Linked DNA regions of Oryzias latipes. The protein of the gene in region 4 purifies or fractionates together with the protein of the main gene of each other region. This does not show direct contact. Links are inferred from orthologs where the notes say so. Each region holds a gene or a part of one and is shown on either strand. Other genes may lie near its edges.

Region 1 (4,379 bases), on a different chromosome or scaffold from region 4:
TACACTTGAGACAAACATTTTCTTCAGGAGGAAAACTTGGAGAATTACAAAAAAAAAATTCGGGGGGAATCATGTTTTCTCTGCGGGTGATTTGGATGAGAGAAAGTTCTTCAATCTCAGCTCAATCCCATTATCTGCGCGCCATCTGCTGCCGTTGCCTCTTGGACGGTTTGAATTTGTGCTTCTTCTCAGCTTTAGGCTCAGGGGGCTCCGTCTGAATTTCAACAGGTTTTTTGTCGGCCGGTGTCACAAAGACGTCAGCTGTGACATCTTTCTCCAAATCCTCTTTGGCGGCGCTCCTCTTCACTTTCTGCATCTCCTTTAAAGTCTGCTTCTCACGGACCTTTGCTGCAGCCGCCAGGCGGAGCTGTCGCCGGTGCTGTCGGCACAAGACACAAGAAAAACCCTTCAACTGCCTGCACGCACCGATTCCACTGCTCTACTGAACGCTGAGGTACAGGAACCTTTAAGGTTAGGAACATCAATGCACTAGAAACCGTCTGAAGGCAAACGTCCATCATACCAACAATAAATACTTCAGGAAAAGTTAGAATTCAGATGACAAATGCCTCATCATATCTTACCAAGTTAGGAGACTTGAAGTTTGGATTTTCGTAGAGTGTCGGTCCTCCAAAGCTTCCTTGAAAAATCTTAATGAGGTTGAGGACAAATCGAGGCCCAATCTCCACCAATGAGGCGTCCTCTTCAATGATCTGAGCACAGAATAATCAGGAATCAGGCAACAGGTTGCCTCTAAGTGGGTGTAACCACCTGAAATGAGGTTTTAGGCCACATTTTCTGAAGTTTGACAACATGCCTGGTAGTTTCGGAACCATATTCTGTTATCTGCGATGGAGAAGGTGAAGACATGGTCCACAAAGGGCTGGCTCTTTGGGTGATAGCGGGGAGTGGAAAAGGTCTACAAGCAAAAAAAGTTCTTCCTTTAAATTAAAAATGTCAGTTGTTTTGTAAACATGCATCTCCAAACCAACATAACCCCCCTGAACCCTTTATGTAATACTGAGGATGAAGTGCTTCTAAATCCTACCTGAATAAAAAGTTCCTTCAGTAAAGCATAGTGGGGCTCCTTATCGAATGTCTGTGAAAGAAAAAGAAAAAGAAATCAAAATGTACAACTTCAAATGGCATAAATGTATGTTCTCCAACATAAAAACAGGAAGCTGGATCATTCTGAGGACTAAAAACAACAGACAGACATTTTTAGGGCTTTTTGTGTTACTTCCTTATTTTAATGGTTTAAAAACCTGTTTAAGTTTAACAGCTGTCTTTTCCTGATAATAAATCTGGACTGATGGCAGAAAAAAGGGGAACAATAGCTTGTCAAGCATTTCCTGGCTTTTCTGACTCCACGTTACCTACAGGATCAAACGAGAGCAGCGGTCTGGATCCCTTCAAGCAGTTTCCTGTCATCTTGAGTTCAGCCAGAGTATGAACTATAAGGAAGCAAAACATCGTCAATCGCATTTACGCTACACTTCTACATAACACTGATTTACAAGAGTAGAAAACTTACTGTTCTGAACCAGAAACTTTGCAGAAGGTCCATGCGGGCAATTAGAGATCCTGAAATGTGTTAAAATGTGTCAAACTTTGTTCAAATAAAATAAAAATAAAAACTTCAGGAGCGTGTGTAAACCTCGAATCAGACACTTACCACATGTAGAGATCCTGCTTCTTTTTGGCTTCAAAAAAGAGGCATTTATTGCAGTTCTTGATCTCGCAGACCTGCAGAAAAAAAAAAAGACATCATCTAGTGTTTCTAGTAGGTCACAGTAGCTCAATTTCAACTGCAGGCGTACCTCATTGACAACAAACAGCTTATCCTTCCTGTCCATTTTTGTATCTAAGTAGAAAACAAAACAAGTGACGTGTTTTCTGCTCATCCTGCAGTCACTGCTTCTCAGTCTAAACATATTGAGTTATTTACCTGCTTTTGAATGAGGCATCAAGGTCCTCAAGTCCTGCATCAGATGCCTCGTCCTGAAGTTGATTCCTCTGGAGGAGAAAATAAGAACCCGTTCCTTGTTGGTCCATTTTCCCTGTTTGTGAGACAGACGTTAGGATATGATCACAGGCAGAGGCGGGTATCATTAGAAAAGAAAAATATGAATTTGAAAATTTTTCTCAAGTAGACGTCAAATGTAGTTTTCCCGAAATAAACCCGAATAAAAAAGTAATATAGATAAAATAACAAATCCAACTACGTACAGAGCGACAGTTTGAACTTATATATGCTAGCATGTTGACATCATTCTAATTACAGGTATTATTAAGGAACATCTTTTGGTTTGAGTTTTTGGCAATAAGGCTGCCTGATGTCAAAGACTTCTTGACTTTTGTCGGATGAAATTATAAACAATAAAGACCTTCATTTTTTTGTAATTGAAAGTATAATTTTGTCCTAGTTTGAGGATGTTTTCAGTTTATTTATATATTTATATTATTGAATTAATAAACTTTCTCAACGTACTCGTAAATGTAACCAAGTATTTTCTTGCCTTAACAGATCACAGATTAAAATGCTGCATCTTAAACTTTTGAAATAGTTTGCTTTTTTAGTCTCCGTGGCACTTTTACATATAGTAAACCGAACAAGACATATCATGTCAGTGAAAACAACACTGAAAAACCATTAGCAAGTTAGCTAAAACTAGGCTAATACTCTTCTTTAAAAGCTGCGAGCACTTACCATGGAAACCGGCTTAGGGACGACTATTTCATTTACCGCGTTCTGTTCGGTGTTCCCATCATCTGCGACGAATTTAACCTTTTTTGTTGTTTTTTCAGCTGTAACATGCACTCCACGTTTTCTCTTGAAAGCCGCCATGTTTCTACAGTAGACAAGATTCTTCAGAAAGCTCGCTCAAAAAGGTAATCCAAGCAAGTCGAAGTCGAAGTAGAGACCCCTAGCGGCGTGGAGGCTGTACTGCAAACGAGAAAAGTAAATTTGAGTTTGTCCTTGTTCAGCTTTCTTAGCTGTGCGTAGACGTCTAAAAAAACATCTGTTGTGATTTTTGACAGTATTTAACAGGTACAGCAGTGAGTCAGACAGTTAGATTCGTGTTTCAGATTAATGTTCTCACATTAGGCATAAAATAGAGTTTTAAGAAATGTGCAAGACTTCTACATTTTCTGCAAAACGTCCGTATGTATCATGTCAACCATGGATGGAAATATTATTTAAACCAGCTTATATAACAGAATTAAACCCCATCTGGTGACTTATACATTAAAAATGACCACGCAAATCAACAAAATTGTATGAGTAGAAAGTGTCGCTTTTTTGGTCCACAGGTTGCAGCAAACTCAAACCAGAAATTTAGCTTCTACGTAGAAGAAGAAAACGTGGCACATACTTCTCGCGAGATTTAGCGGCATTAAGACAAGTCAGTATTCAAATCCTCGTAACACTGTCCAAATTGACGACAACAAAATTGACAACTCTTTAATTATTTGAATTATAAACCTTAGATTTGGACATGGAAGGTTTAATTATAACACGACTTTTGTAATGTAATAAAAAGTACCTTTTTTATTCCTCTAATAGATAGCAGAGAGGCTAGCTGTTTGCTAGCATGCGGCAACTGCAGAGTGAATGCTAAAGGTACAACGTGGATAAGAATTAGTGTTTTAAAAAGATAAAAGCCACATTTTTATAAAGATGAAGTGTCACTATGATATTTTGGGTGTTAAACGAGACGCAGGAGACGACGATCTGAAGAAAGCGTATCGAAAATTAGCCTTAAAATGGCATCCAGGTAAGTGTTGAAAACAGTTTCTTTCTGCCGGCGGCTGGATGGGAAGATCCTATTAATCAAAGCATTTGTTATTGTAATTTTAATTATTATTATTATTATTAAAATGTCTTGGAGAAAGAGAGTCTGTTGAGACGCTTGTAATTATGTTTTTTTTCGCGATGAGTATCCCATCAACATAAAACGTTACAAAATAAAAGCTGTATTCCTTCAAGATCCGTTGTATATGTTATTTTTATTTTCATTTATTGTATATGTATTTGGGCTTTTTTTTACATCATGGCCTGGGGACTTTAGAGGAAATTAGAGTTTGACTAATTCGTGCTTTTTAACTGTGAATAACCACATTCTTTTTTTCAAATAAATTCCCTTGAATAAACTACTATTACTATTACTGTAAGTGTCTTCTGCCCTGTATCTTATAACTTCCATTACATCAGGAAGATCAACCTAGGCCTAAATGAGATTTTTTTCCACAGCATAACTATATTTTAACTTAATGATTAGTAAACACTGTGGGCCAAGATGATGACAACATTTTCAGAATCCCTGTTTAAACATTTGAAGCATTGATAAGAACTTTAGCATCTTCTACTCTTCTGA
Region 2 (2,387 bases), about 5.1 Mb from region 4:
CCTTCGATCTCTGTGTTGTTAAAGTTTTCCAATGCTTCTTTGGCATCCTCTGCGTTCTCAAACTCTATAAAAGCAAAACTAGAGCAAAAAAAAAAAACTAACATTATTACCAGGCAACACAGAATGCTGCTTCTGATTGATGAAGTATTGACATTCAAATTTATTACAATTGGTATTTAGCTACTGAAAATACTGAGAACACTAGAAAGATTTTTTATTGAAAACAATAATTTATACAGGTACAATTTTATTACAACTGTTTAAACAGCTTTCTTAAATTATCATTTTATCAAATATTCATCAAATCAAAATATTTGTTGCACAGCAGACATGGGCAACACCCATAAGCATGTAGGGCGAGCCTGTTTTGATCTGTGCACTGGCTCTGCTTCTCGTGCGAATCCGTACAGAATCATGGATGCGATTGAGAGGAGCTCATGAGAAGGTGCTCTAGAATTGTAAACAATAACCGTCTTCTCCAGCACTTACCCTTTAGGTCTGCCGTCCCTTTGAGGAATCCTTATGGAAGCTGCTTTTTCAAACGTAGACTGTAGAACATCTTCTGTGGCACTGAAGGCCAGATTATTTACAACCAACGTTTTGTTGACTCCTCCTGATGCTAAACGGCAACAAAAAGGGTAGAAATTGTTCAATTCCCAATTAACTTTCATCACACCTAAGCAGGTTTTAAGGTTTGAGCATTTGAACCAGTTACTGAGTACATATATTTAAAGGATTTTACTAACAGTTCTGGGTAGTTACATATCATCAATACAGGACTCAGTACCTGACATTCTGCCACCTTTTTGGCTCTTATCTCCAACAAAGTCTAAAATGATGGACCTCCCTTGCACATCGGCTCCCTGGGCCTCCTCCATCATCTTCTCTGCGACAGCTTCAGATTTGAATTCAATGTAGGCAATGCTGCATTAAAGAAACAGAAAAGCTGATATGAGGACAAGGTAAGATATAACTAGAAACAATTGGGCATAAGGCTGGTAAGTTATTTTAAAGATTTCAAACTATAAAAGTGACTTCTGTAATTGAGTTTTTTCTTACCCTCTATTTGAACCGTTTTGTCCCTGAGGTAACCGGACATCAACCGCATCTTCAAACAATTCCTTCAGGTCATCAACCGTGGCAGAAAACGGAAGATTTTTAACAAAAAGGGTCCGCGCATCTCTCTCTGTAGAACCAATATCAATTTTAGAAAAACACTGATAATACAGACTTCAAACATTTAGCAGACAAACTTTGCAAAGGTGCATGTTTACCTTTCTTTCCTTCCTGTGAGTTATCTTTCTGACGGGCCTTGTCCAGCTTTAGTTCTTGACCCATGAATTTCTTGCCATTAAGCTCCATTGCCTTGTTCATGTCTTCCTCTGAGGCAAAGTCAACGTAGCCAAATTTCCTATTGAAGCAAGATGCAAAATTAGAAAATTAGACCTCAAATTAAATCTACCTTAAATGAACATCAAAGGTTTTTGGCTGAACTCGTGAATTTCTTTATTTAAGATCACAAAAACATTTGAGTTGTCTTGAATTCAGTCGCTCTTCTCCAACCCCTAAAAATGAATCATTGCAGGATCGCTATATCACACATTGTGAAGCAAGCAACAAACATTTTGAACAACACTCTTAAAAAGCTTAAACTTGTGGTGCAATGCAATTGAAACCGGGGTAACCATATATTTATTTGAGTTAAAACAAGTGAGCCATGAAAGGAAGCAATGACCAGGAAGACCTTTAAAAGGACAAAGGTTCCCAAATGACTGTGGGGAAAACACCCCTACATCTCAGGTTTTAACACACATTCTTGTCCGGGCAAGACGTGTGTGTTTTTTTTTTAAACTTACTTGGAACCTCCTAACCGGACATCAACAATCTCTAGACTGTTTTTGGAGAAGAATTTTCTGAGCGAGGCTTTGATTTCGTCAAAGTCTTTGTTGGAGTTGAGGTTTCCAACAAACAAGCAGAAGCCTGGAAAAACACAAAACAACAGTTTTTACAATCCAAATGTGGGTGAAAGCAATAAATGCAGAATAAGGCCAAGCATATTCAGAATAATTCAAGGTGACATCACACATCAGTATTAAGTCCCTTGTTGATCATCATGAGAAATAAACTTCAGAATGATAAACCAACATGTCTGTACTTGCCTTCTCCATCAGACTTTGCTTTCTTAGCAGGAACTGGTTCTTTCTTTCCATCTGCCTTTCTCTTTGCAGCTTTAGCTGGGGCTTCTGTTCAGACAGAAAAAAGACTTTGTACAAAGTTGTATGCAGGAAATGTTTAATTTTTTTTCAATGCAAAATCGAGACCAAAAATATTTGTTACTTATATTCATGATGTGCTGTCTTAGCATTAGTTTAACCGTGAGTTTATGC
Region 3 (4,391 bases), on a different chromosome or scaffold from region 4:
CCAACCTAAAACGCAAGAAAACTATGAGTCGGAACAAAATTCTGAAACTCTGAGCTTAGGAAAATGTGCAGAGGACCATCAGCACCGATGTAGTTCTCATCACACGGATTCAGGGGATTGACAGATTTTGGCAAAACATCATTGGTCCAAGAAACAGACAGAGACACAAGCGTTTCCTCACCACTTCTCCAATCAAGGCTGCCAAGTTTGGAGCGACCTGCGACATCTTAGAGCGCAGATACTCCTGCAGCCCCTGGCGATACGCAGCCAGGGACACAACACGGTTGGAAAACCTCTCAATGTTGATCAGGTCAATTGGAGAGATGTCCATTCCTGAAAGGGAAAAGACGATAGCTATGAACAAAGAAAAGGACCAGTTTGTATTTTGAGCTGCACTGTGGGATTGTTTCTCCCGACAGGATCCGCAGTGAGGAGGACACGCCTTCACTACAGGTTTATGAGAGATATCATCTACCCCCCTGTGTTAGGCACCCAGGACGATTATCGGTCCAGGGTGGGCATAAAAGGGGCTTATAAGATCAACGCTACAGTAGGGTACTGGCTTAAATTCTGACCCATAGAGGAGCGAGACGCCTCCAGAATGGCCTGAGCTTTGGCACTGTCCATCACCACCTCCTCCAGGCTCTCCAGCTTCTCCTCTGTGAGCTCCTTCCTGTTGCCAATGAGCTGGGCCAGGCGGCAGTACATTGAGTTCTCTGAAACGATCTTGATCAGCTCCGGGAAGTGGTAGCCATACCATTCCCTGGAGTGCACAAGGAAACAAACTATGAATATCCTGTGTGATATAACCCTTCAAAACTAAAATGCACACGTTAGGGAAAAACCAGACAGGGAAATGTATCCCCCCAAACAGTGTGGCGTTACGAGATGTCAGCAAGTACCGCGCAAATGTTAGGAGAAGGCTGATGTACCTCCTGTTTCTATACAGACAACACTCTGAGGTGCACTGTCTGTGGTAAGCATTAGGAGGACACTTTATCTTTCAAACTTTTATAGAATTTAATTCAGTTTTACCCTGGAACCAAAACAAAAACATCCTAAACAACCAGCTTACCGCACACGCATGGAGAAAGTGTTGATGTCTTTATCCAGCTGATCCAACAAAGCAATGGACTGGATGATCATGTTGTCAGCCCGATTCACGTTAAACTTGACCTTCGCTCTGGAGTAGCTGTGACCCAGACCAAGCTGTGCCTTGGAGGCGGCGAGAGAGGTCAGACCCTTCACCAGAGAGTGGAAGTGAAGGCGAATACCTGCAAAGTGAAAGCAAACAGGAGGGTTTGTGGGCGCAAAAGGAAACTGCCACAAAACCGGAAACATCTGGGGGCTGTTCAGATTTTCAGTATAAACCATCACAAATGTCAGGATCAAAAGTGCATCACAACAGACCACCCCTTTTTATATTAACATTCACAGTAATAAAGTAATAACTGAGTTCACGTCTGTATTCAAACAAAGACATAACGCACCTCTAGTTATCTCAGCCACCACTCCACCGGTTTGTATGGAGATGTTCAGTTCTTCTTGCAGCGCAGCTCCGATCTTGGCATCAGAAACCCCTAAAGACGGCTTCTTCTTTCCAGATAGAGCAAGGTTTGTCTCCAGAAACAGCTTCAGATCAGCATGAACGACGCCTGCATTGGAAAAAACATCGCAACCTTTAGCAAAAACACAACCCGTAATCCAACCATGCAGCCAGCAAACACTTCTTATGCACCAGGAAATAGTCTTAATCACTAAAAGATGCATGAATAAACTCAACTTTTCCCCAGATGTTCAGCAGTAACATAAAAATATCATCACATTTTATCAGTGGATTGACAGATTGTAAACCATCATTACAGCTGAGAATCTTAAAAAACAAACCCATTCAGTAAATAAATACGACTTGCCTTCAGAAATTGCGTTGATGTTCTCCAGGGCGGCCTGGGCGGACTTGAAGGGGAAAAAAGCAGCCAAGCTCACCATGCTGTTGAACTTCCCGATGCTCAGCACGCTCTCCTCCACCTGCGACGGACACACAGACACCGTTCACCGCTCTGATCCACTCCCGACAACACACCAGACCGGGACACGCAGGAGAACAGGCTCACCTGGGGGAGAAGCATGCCGATCTCCTCCACCTCCTTCACGGCGAACAGCGCGTAGCCCGCCGCGTGCTCGAACAACACGTGCAGCAAAACCTGCGAAAGGTACATTTAAGTAAGTAACAATAAATCCCTTTAAGATTTATCCCAAATGACATTTGTAGTAAAAGTGGTTTTATTGCAAGTTGATTTAGGCAGATATGAATTACTTTAAACTGGAACCACGTGGTGGCTTGTCGAACCCACGTGTTTGACCTGGGCCCAGGCAAACTTGCTATTAAGCTAACTAATGCTAACTGCTTAGCGATTACCCCTTCACGCGGTTTTAAAATCCTTCAAACTCTGTATACATAATATATTTTGACTAACACAGCTGTTCATGTACCTTTTCACCAATTCAGTCTGTGGCTGTTAAAACAACTTTAGACACTCCCGCCTATTCTTTCCGCACAGGCGGCTAGCCGCAAAAAACGGTCGTCATTTTTTCCCTTGACTTTTTAAACGTCATTTGAACAAGTACAAGGGGATTTATCGCCTCTGCGTAGCTTCAAGTTGTTTCTTCAGAATAAAGGTGGCGGTGCACAAGAGTCATTTATCTTACCATGATGGCTAAATCTGCGCAGCGGCACACAACGTGTCTGCTCCGCTGCTTCCACACACGAAAAGAGAGCAGAAAACTTTGACATGACCCACATCTCGCGAGATTATACTGGCTCCTCCCTCTCCGCCTTTCTTTCACAGCTGCTGCGAGCTTGGCTTCACCTCTTGTTCACAATTATGGCACCTCCGAATTTTTTTATTGATCATCAACCAGTGCATTACATCACATTTTTTATTTTTATTGGAGTATTTATTGAATTATTTATTTAAAGCATCAAAATATAGGAATAATACAATAGAAATGACAAAACCTATATATATCTAAATTATTTCAGATTTGAAGTAATACGTTAATTAGAAAGTAAAGAAAAATAACCAAAGATAAAAGAAAATGGTGCCATCTCATTTTCTTGAAAGTGTAATAATCACAAATAAACATCTTTGCAAAAACAGTATACACAAGTCTATTCAGATTCATTCATCTGTATAGAAGTGTCTACTCACATTTAAGTCACACATTTTTTATCAAGAAGCTTTTTCAGTAAAAGTAATCATTGGAAATCATTTTGCATGGGCTTTGGACAGGCTTGGACAAATGTCATATTTTCCTCTGAGTCTTTCCAGTCTAGTATTTTTTATTTAATTTCTTCATTTAGGTATTTTATGGTTAAATTGCTGCTTACTCATTTTTTACACTAAATTGCTGCATGTCTTTTAATCACTAAAAGCACTTTTATTTGCTTTTATCAAAGCTACTTTCAAATCTAACTGTCCTAAGTTGATTAAAAGGTACTTCGCTTAGAAACATATTGTGGACAAAAAAAGGTAAAGAACTATTCTTTTGGACAGAAAGTAACTAAAGATGAAATGTTGCTGCAACAATGGAAAAATTATTTTAAATGTATTTTAATCCGAAAAATGCATTTTTTCTTCTTGAAAGCTTTTCATCAACAGGAGTGTTGAGATTTAATTATTCAAACACAGACCTGACACTCCAAAGAGACTAAATTACTGAAAATATAAAGAAAACACTAATCAGCAAAACATGTTTATTTGCAATAAAATACAATTATAAAACATATAAAAACTGTATAAGGCAGGTTGCATTACTTGCTGAGAAAAAAACTATTAGTTGGTCCAACTTTTACATCAAAAATGTGAATTATATCATGATTCTTTAACAGAAATATGACAAACGTTTAAAAAGCTACAAAGAAAAAATGAGCAAAACCAACAATAATGAATGAAAACAAAAATGGGAAAAAAGGACATCAAAATGGATGTGATTTATCTTTTTCACGTACTTTAAACATTATGAGGAATATCTTTTTATACAGGATAGTTCAAATTCCTCAGATGACTAAAACCAGGATTTCTGTACCGTACAACTGTACAATAAATAAACTGCAAGTGCAAAGTGATGGAAAAATGTAAAAAGGTTTCATGTGTCAACGTGTTAACGTGTTTTTACTACACAGGACTCTCAGAGCTGTGATTACAGACCCGTCACATAGAATTGTTATATTTCAGGCAACACACTCTCACCTCGACAGCAATAAAGCCTAACCACAATGCCATTTTGCTTTCATTCAGGAAACAGTTGAGTGTTGCATTTAATAACAAACCATCAATAAAGCTCTTTAGACGCTCAAAACTCCTGGCAACAAAAACATGAGGAAGATT
Region 4 (4,460 bases):
GAGAGAGGGATGACAGATAACTGGGGGTGGGGTAGAAGGGGGATTATAGTAGCGAGGGTAAGATCGTGAAGCCTCAGAAAGCAACAAGTTGCTGGAGCTTTATAATCACAACTGACAGGTTAAGATGCATGAAAAATCTAAAATGGGCGGGGCTTGTCCACATGCACACACTCAAATGTTACAAACACACCTGTTGGCTCCAAAAGTGTTCACACACAAATAAGTCTACATGGATACCACTTACATTCACACACGCATACTTATGCATTCAGACTAACACATGTGAAACATTTCATTCAGTCACGCAAACTTGTGCAAAGGTGAGATAGCACCTGTGCTCGAGTGAGTGTTTATGTTCTTCTGGGGTGGATGATGGAATGTAAAAAGAGAGACAGAGCCCAGCCGCCCCCCCACCAAGGCCCCCACCGCAGCAGCGGCAGCAGCCGGGACCCCTCAACACCCGCACAGTACAGCAGATAGAGAACGCTCATGGAGTCAATGTCAGGAAAACGCTCTCTTGTCTTCGGGTGTGTGTGTTGTTTTTTGAGAATACCAGCAACAACAATAACAAAAGCAATAATAATAATAATTCTTTCATTCATCATCTAAAACCGTTAAATCCCTTTTGGGGTCGCTTGGCTGCTGGAGCCTATCCCAGCCACTTATGTGAAAGGCAGGTCACCAGTCTGACACAGGGCCACAATCCCACACACACTCCCATTCCCACCAAGGGACAGAGTAACCAATTAACCTATGAAGCATAAGTCCCTGGGGGAACCCACAAATGGACGAGGAGAACATGCATACTCCACATAGGGAAGTCCAACCATAATAATGATGATTCATTCATTTATTCATTCATTCATCATTCATCTTCTTCTGTTTTGTCCCAATTTGGGGTCACAGGATGCCAGAGGCCAATCACCGCCAATTGTGCGCGAAGGCAGGGGACACCATGGACAGGTCACCAGTCTTTTGGAGGGCCACAATAACACATTCACTCTCACACTCACACCTAGGGACAATTTAGAGTTGCCAATTAACCTAGCCAGAGACCCCAGAGAAAACCGGGGAGAACATGCAAACTCCACACAAACAGGTCCCCCATTGGTGTTCTGGTTCAGGTCCCCCAGCCGGGACTTAAACCGGGGGCCTTCTTGCTGTGAGGCACGGGCGCTAACCAATGTTCCACCGTGCAGCAATAATGATGATGCTGATAATGATATTATTATTATTATTATTATTATTATTATTATTATTATTATTAATAATAATAATAATAATAATAATAATAATAATAATAATAATAATTTTTTTACATTTTTGTTTTACACTAACATGTTTGGTGGCTCTCTCCAGCTGAATTTGAAAGACACTTAGGTTTCACCTTGTTTTCTTTTTCTGCCGGTTGAAACTGCGGGTAATATTTTAATTTGGGAAAAAATAAATAAATGAACAACCTTGATAATAAATAAATTACCATTGCATTATTATTCTTGAGTGTAACAGTGGAATGTATTTTCTTTTTGTAGGAACCTTTTGTTTTGATCGCAGTTTTCCACCGGCGCACTCTGCTTGTAGAACTTCCGATGACGTCATTTCTCCCCGCGTGAACGCTAGTACACGTGAGGAAAATCGAAGCGTCCAAAACAATTAACTTTTCTTGGTTGTTTGGAAAGATTTGCCCTCTTTATGGTTATAGCCGTAAACACGATGGAGTCTGCAGAAGAGGAGTCGCTTCTCGGCCTGGATTCAGAGGAAGAAGGCAGCGAGTTATCGGATGGAGAGGTGAGTTTTTATGCTAACCGGACTCAAGCTCTGATAGTTGTTCAGCTAAAAGTTATCATTATATGATGTACGCTTTGGGGATTTGTTTTCCCCTTTTTTAAAAAATTGGTTAAAGTTATTGTCTCTGAAAGATTTGGTCTAAGTGATTATTCTAATTTACGAAAGGTAATGTATTAATTTATTTAACTGTAGCTTCAGGAAGCCTTCACCAAAGGGTTGCTGAAACCTGGAATGAACGTTCTGGTGGATAAATCTAAGAAATTGGTAAACAATGTGGTAAGTTGGTTTTCTTACAGTTTTAGTTACACCTGTGATGAAGCTACTACTCTTAAATTAAGAGAAAAAAAGTGTATTATTTATAGTGCATTTATGTGAACATGTTTAATGGCTGCAGGAGGGGTTAAAAGAGTGTCTTGCTGACTTCCGGAAAGACCTCTCCTGGGTGGAAAGGTTAGACCTCAGCACTCTTCCAGTCTTATCCCAAGTGGAAGGGAAAGTTCCTGCTGAGATAAATGGAGGACCGGATGCAGAGGATGATTTCCAGAGGGAGATGTTCTTGTAAGTGACCACTGTGTTCTAGACCTCGGGTTCAAAGTATTATCATAATCTGGGTTCGGTTATCACATTTGCAAAACATTTCTTTACCCTGTCATAATTGCAATCTGCAATTTGTTCTTACACATTTGTACGACTGCATGTCATTGTTGATCCTAATTTAGAGCTTTGACTAAAGATACTCCACACACCCAATAAACCTGACATTGGTGCTGGTAAAAACACATCATGCGTGTTTTTATTTTTTTCTAATAAAATGACATTTCAAAATATTGAGCTCAGGATTCAGATTTGAATTTTTTTTTAAATCACCGGTGGGAATATTTTGTAACAGGATTTTGTAATGGTCATATGGTGTTCTAGGCTACAGCTTTTTTTTCTTTAAAGGAACTTTTTTTAAAGCAACCATTTACAGTTTTCAGAAACGGGAAAAAAAAGAGTTATTGAAGTTTTGATCTAATGAGGAAAAACAAATGACCAGGTTTGTGTGTTTGTGTTAAACTGAAGTGATGGCTGTTTAAACTGATGATGTCATTTGTTTTGTTTTCTTTTACAGTTACCGTCAAGCTCAAGCCACAGTCCTGGAGGCCCTCCCTCTCCTGAGGAAGCATGACATAAACACCAGAAGGCCTGATGATTACTTTGCAGAAATGGCCAAGTCCGATCAGCACATGCAGAAGGTGACTTGCTTTCATTCATGCTAAAGGGGGTGTGCTTTCTAACATGTTCTAAGCTCCAAACATTAATCATGGATAGTACTTGGCAGGAATGTGGCTTTCTGTTTATTTGTAGCAGATGTCTGATAGAAAAGTTAAGCTGGACCTTTGTAATATGGATGGCTGTGGACCCATAAAGACTAAAAAGCTTTAGGAAGATGCAAATTCATGAAGAAATGGCTTGAAAAATATGGATTACTTGTGTTGATTGTTAGTAATTACTATAGCAAACTGCACAGTTTGCTGAAAGACATAGATGTGGCACAGAAAGGGTCAAGCGGATCAAAACGCATGTGTAGAGAAAGAAATAGCCAGACTCCAGCTGTTTGTTTCATTTTCTTTGTACGGATTTGTAGGTTTTAATTGTTCTTTAGAAGGTTTTCAAATTCACTTCTGTAAATCTGTGGAGACCCTGTAATAGGTTTGTGAACAAAATGCAGTCTTTTACTTTACAGGAGTTGGAAAACAGGAACAAACCTGTTTTGTTTTGTTTTTGTTTTCCAGATCAGGCAGAAGCTGACCGCAAAGCAGATGATTTTGGAAAAGTCTGAAAAGGCCAAGAAACTGCGGGAGCAACGGAAATTTGGCAAAAAGGTTTGTTTTTGCTGAGACTTGTTCTTAACCGCCTCTCACTCTGTAGATACGAAGACGTGTTTGTGCTCCAAATGGTGAGGGAACCTCTGTCTGATTGTTTGCCAGGTCCAAATAGAGGTGATCCAGAAGAGACAGAAGGAGAAGAAGGCTATGATGTCTGCTGTAAAGAAATACCAGAAAGGTGAGGACTTGGGTTTTGTTTCTGTGGCCATGATATGTACTTTGTAATTGTTAAATGCCAAATCTGATGCATTCTTTTACATTTTCTTATTCCAGGAATGTCAGATAAACTGGACTTTTTGGAAGGAGACCAGAAGATGGGTAATAATTCTTCAGGAGGTCCCAGTAAAGCAGTGAACAAAAAAGGGTAAAGCTTCTCCCCTCTGCTTTTTTCCTCTTTTGCTTCTGTCATATTTTCTCTAAATTCCTCTGGTTTTCCCTTGGATTCTTCAGCCCCAGTGCTAAGCGGAAATACAAGGACCAAAAGTTTGGTTTTGGAGGCAAAAAGAGCGGGAAGAAGTGGAACACCAAGGAGAGCTACAACGATGTTTCTGGTTTCAAAGCCAGAGTGGCGCACGCCAAGGGAGGAAAGAAGGGCAAACAAGGAAAACAAAACGTGAGCCACACAGACAAAACCAAAGATGCATTTATTTATCGTTAAATAATTTGTCAAGTTGATGTAACCCGAATTTTTCTTCTGGGCTTTCAGAAACGTCCCGGCAAATCTGTGCGCAAGAAGATGAAAGGCCGCTCGTAAACACCGGCTGGACCTGGACTGTGGTTCTGATCGGAACCTTTTTCTGTCTT

The links.
Region 1: the proteins of ebna1bp2 (region 4) and brix1 purify together in Homo sapiens (affinity purification with mass spectrometry; 4 studies listed by BioGRID and IntAct, counting the BioPlex papers as one, with this or other methods). This does not show direct contact. The link is inferred for Oryzias latipes from reciprocal best matches to the Homo sapiens genes EBNA1BP2 and BRIX1.
Region 2: the proteins of ebna1bp2 (region 4) and ncl purify together in Homo sapiens (affinity purification with mass spectrometry; 3 studies listed by BioGRID and IntAct, with this or other methods). This does not show direct contact. The link is inferred for Oryzias latipes from reciprocal best matches to the Homo sapiens genes EBNA1BP2 and NCL.
Region 3: the proteins of ebna1bp2 (region 4) and nop56 purify together in Homo sapiens (affinity purification with mass spectrometry; 4 studies listed by BioGRID and IntAct, with this or other methods). This does not show direct contact. The link is inferred for Oryzias latipes from reciprocal best matches to the Homo sapiens genes EBNA1BP2 and NOP56.

Annotation. Positions count from the first base shown.
Region 1 is NC_019870.2:9,826,602-9,830,980, forward strand, and holds the start of brix1 (ribosome biogenesis protein BRX1 homolog), read right to left. Parts: upstream 2,893-4,379; 5' UTR 2,849-2,892; coding exon 2,711-2,848; intron 2,061-2,710; coding exon 1,949-2,060; intron 1,865-1,948; coding exon 1,821-1,864; intron 1,747-1,820; coding exon 1,676-1,746; intron 1,585-1,675; coding exon 1,535-1,584; intron 1,455-1,534; coding exon 1,381-1,454; intron 1,100-1,380; coding exon 1,049-1,099; intron 920-1,048; coding exon 818-919; intron 714-817; coding exon 585-713; intron 380-584; coding exon 131-379; 3' UTR 1-130. Other genes in the region: dnajc21 (dnaJ homolog subfamily C member 21), read left to right, coding at 3,683-3,779. UniProt on the Homo sapiens protein: Required for biogenesis of the 60S ribosomal subunit.
Region 2 is NC_019862.2:11,722,625-11,725,011, reverse strand, and holds part of ncl (nucleolin), read right to left. Parts: intron 2,244-2,387; coding exon 2,160-2,243; intron 2,116-2,159; exon of another isoform or gene 2,059-2,115; intron 1,981-2,058; coding exon 1,857-1,980; intron 1,412-1,856; coding exon 1,275-1,411; intron 1,187-1,274; coding exon 1,060-1,186; intron 925-1,059; coding exon 788-924; intron 620-787; coding exon 490-619; intron 448-489; exon of another isoform or gene 313-447; intron 79-312; coding exon 1-78. UniProt on the Homo sapiens protein: Nucleolin is the major nucleolar protein of growing eukaryotic cells. It is found associated with intranucleolar chromatin and pre-ribosomal particles. It induces chromatin decondensation by binding to histone H1.
Region 3 is NC_019863.2:17,294,832-17,299,222, forward strand, and holds the start of nop56 (nucleolar protein 56), read right to left. Parts: upstream 2,830-4,391; 5' UTR 2,713-2,829; coding exon 2,710-2,712; intron 2,224-2,709; exon of another isoform or gene 2,205-2,223; coding exon 2,115-2,204; intron 2,029-2,114; coding exon 1,914-2,028; intron 1,656-1,913; coding exon 1,491-1,655; intron 1,275-1,490; coding exon 1,076-1,274; intron 764-1,075; coding exon 576-763; intron 523-575; exon of another isoform or gene 402-522; intron 334-401; coding exon 182-333; intron 6-181; coding exon 1-5. UniProt on the Homo sapiens protein: Involved in the early to middle stages of 60S ribosomal subunit biogenesis. Required for the biogenesis of box C/D snoRNAs such U3, U8 and U14 snoRNAs. Part of the small subunit (SSU) processome, first precursor of the small eukaryotic ribosomal subunit.
Region 4 is NC_019862.2:16,837,990-16,842,449, reverse strand, and holds the start of ebna1bp2 (probable rRNA-processing protein EBP2), read left to right. Parts: upstream 1-1,583; 5' UTR 1,584-1,692; coding exon 1,693-1,788; intron 1,789-1,980; coding exon 1,981-2,064; intron 2,065-2,182; coding exon 2,183-2,346; intron 2,347-2,899; coding exon 2,900-3,023; intron 3,024-3,563; coding exon 3,564-3,653; intron 3,654-3,758; coding exon 3,759-3,834; intron 3,835-3,929; coding exon 3,930-4,020; intron 4,021-4,106; coding exon 4,107-4,269; intron 4,270-4,362; coding exon 4,363-4,410; 3' UTR 4,411-4,460. UniProt on the Homo sapiens protein: Required for the processing of the 27S pre-rRNA.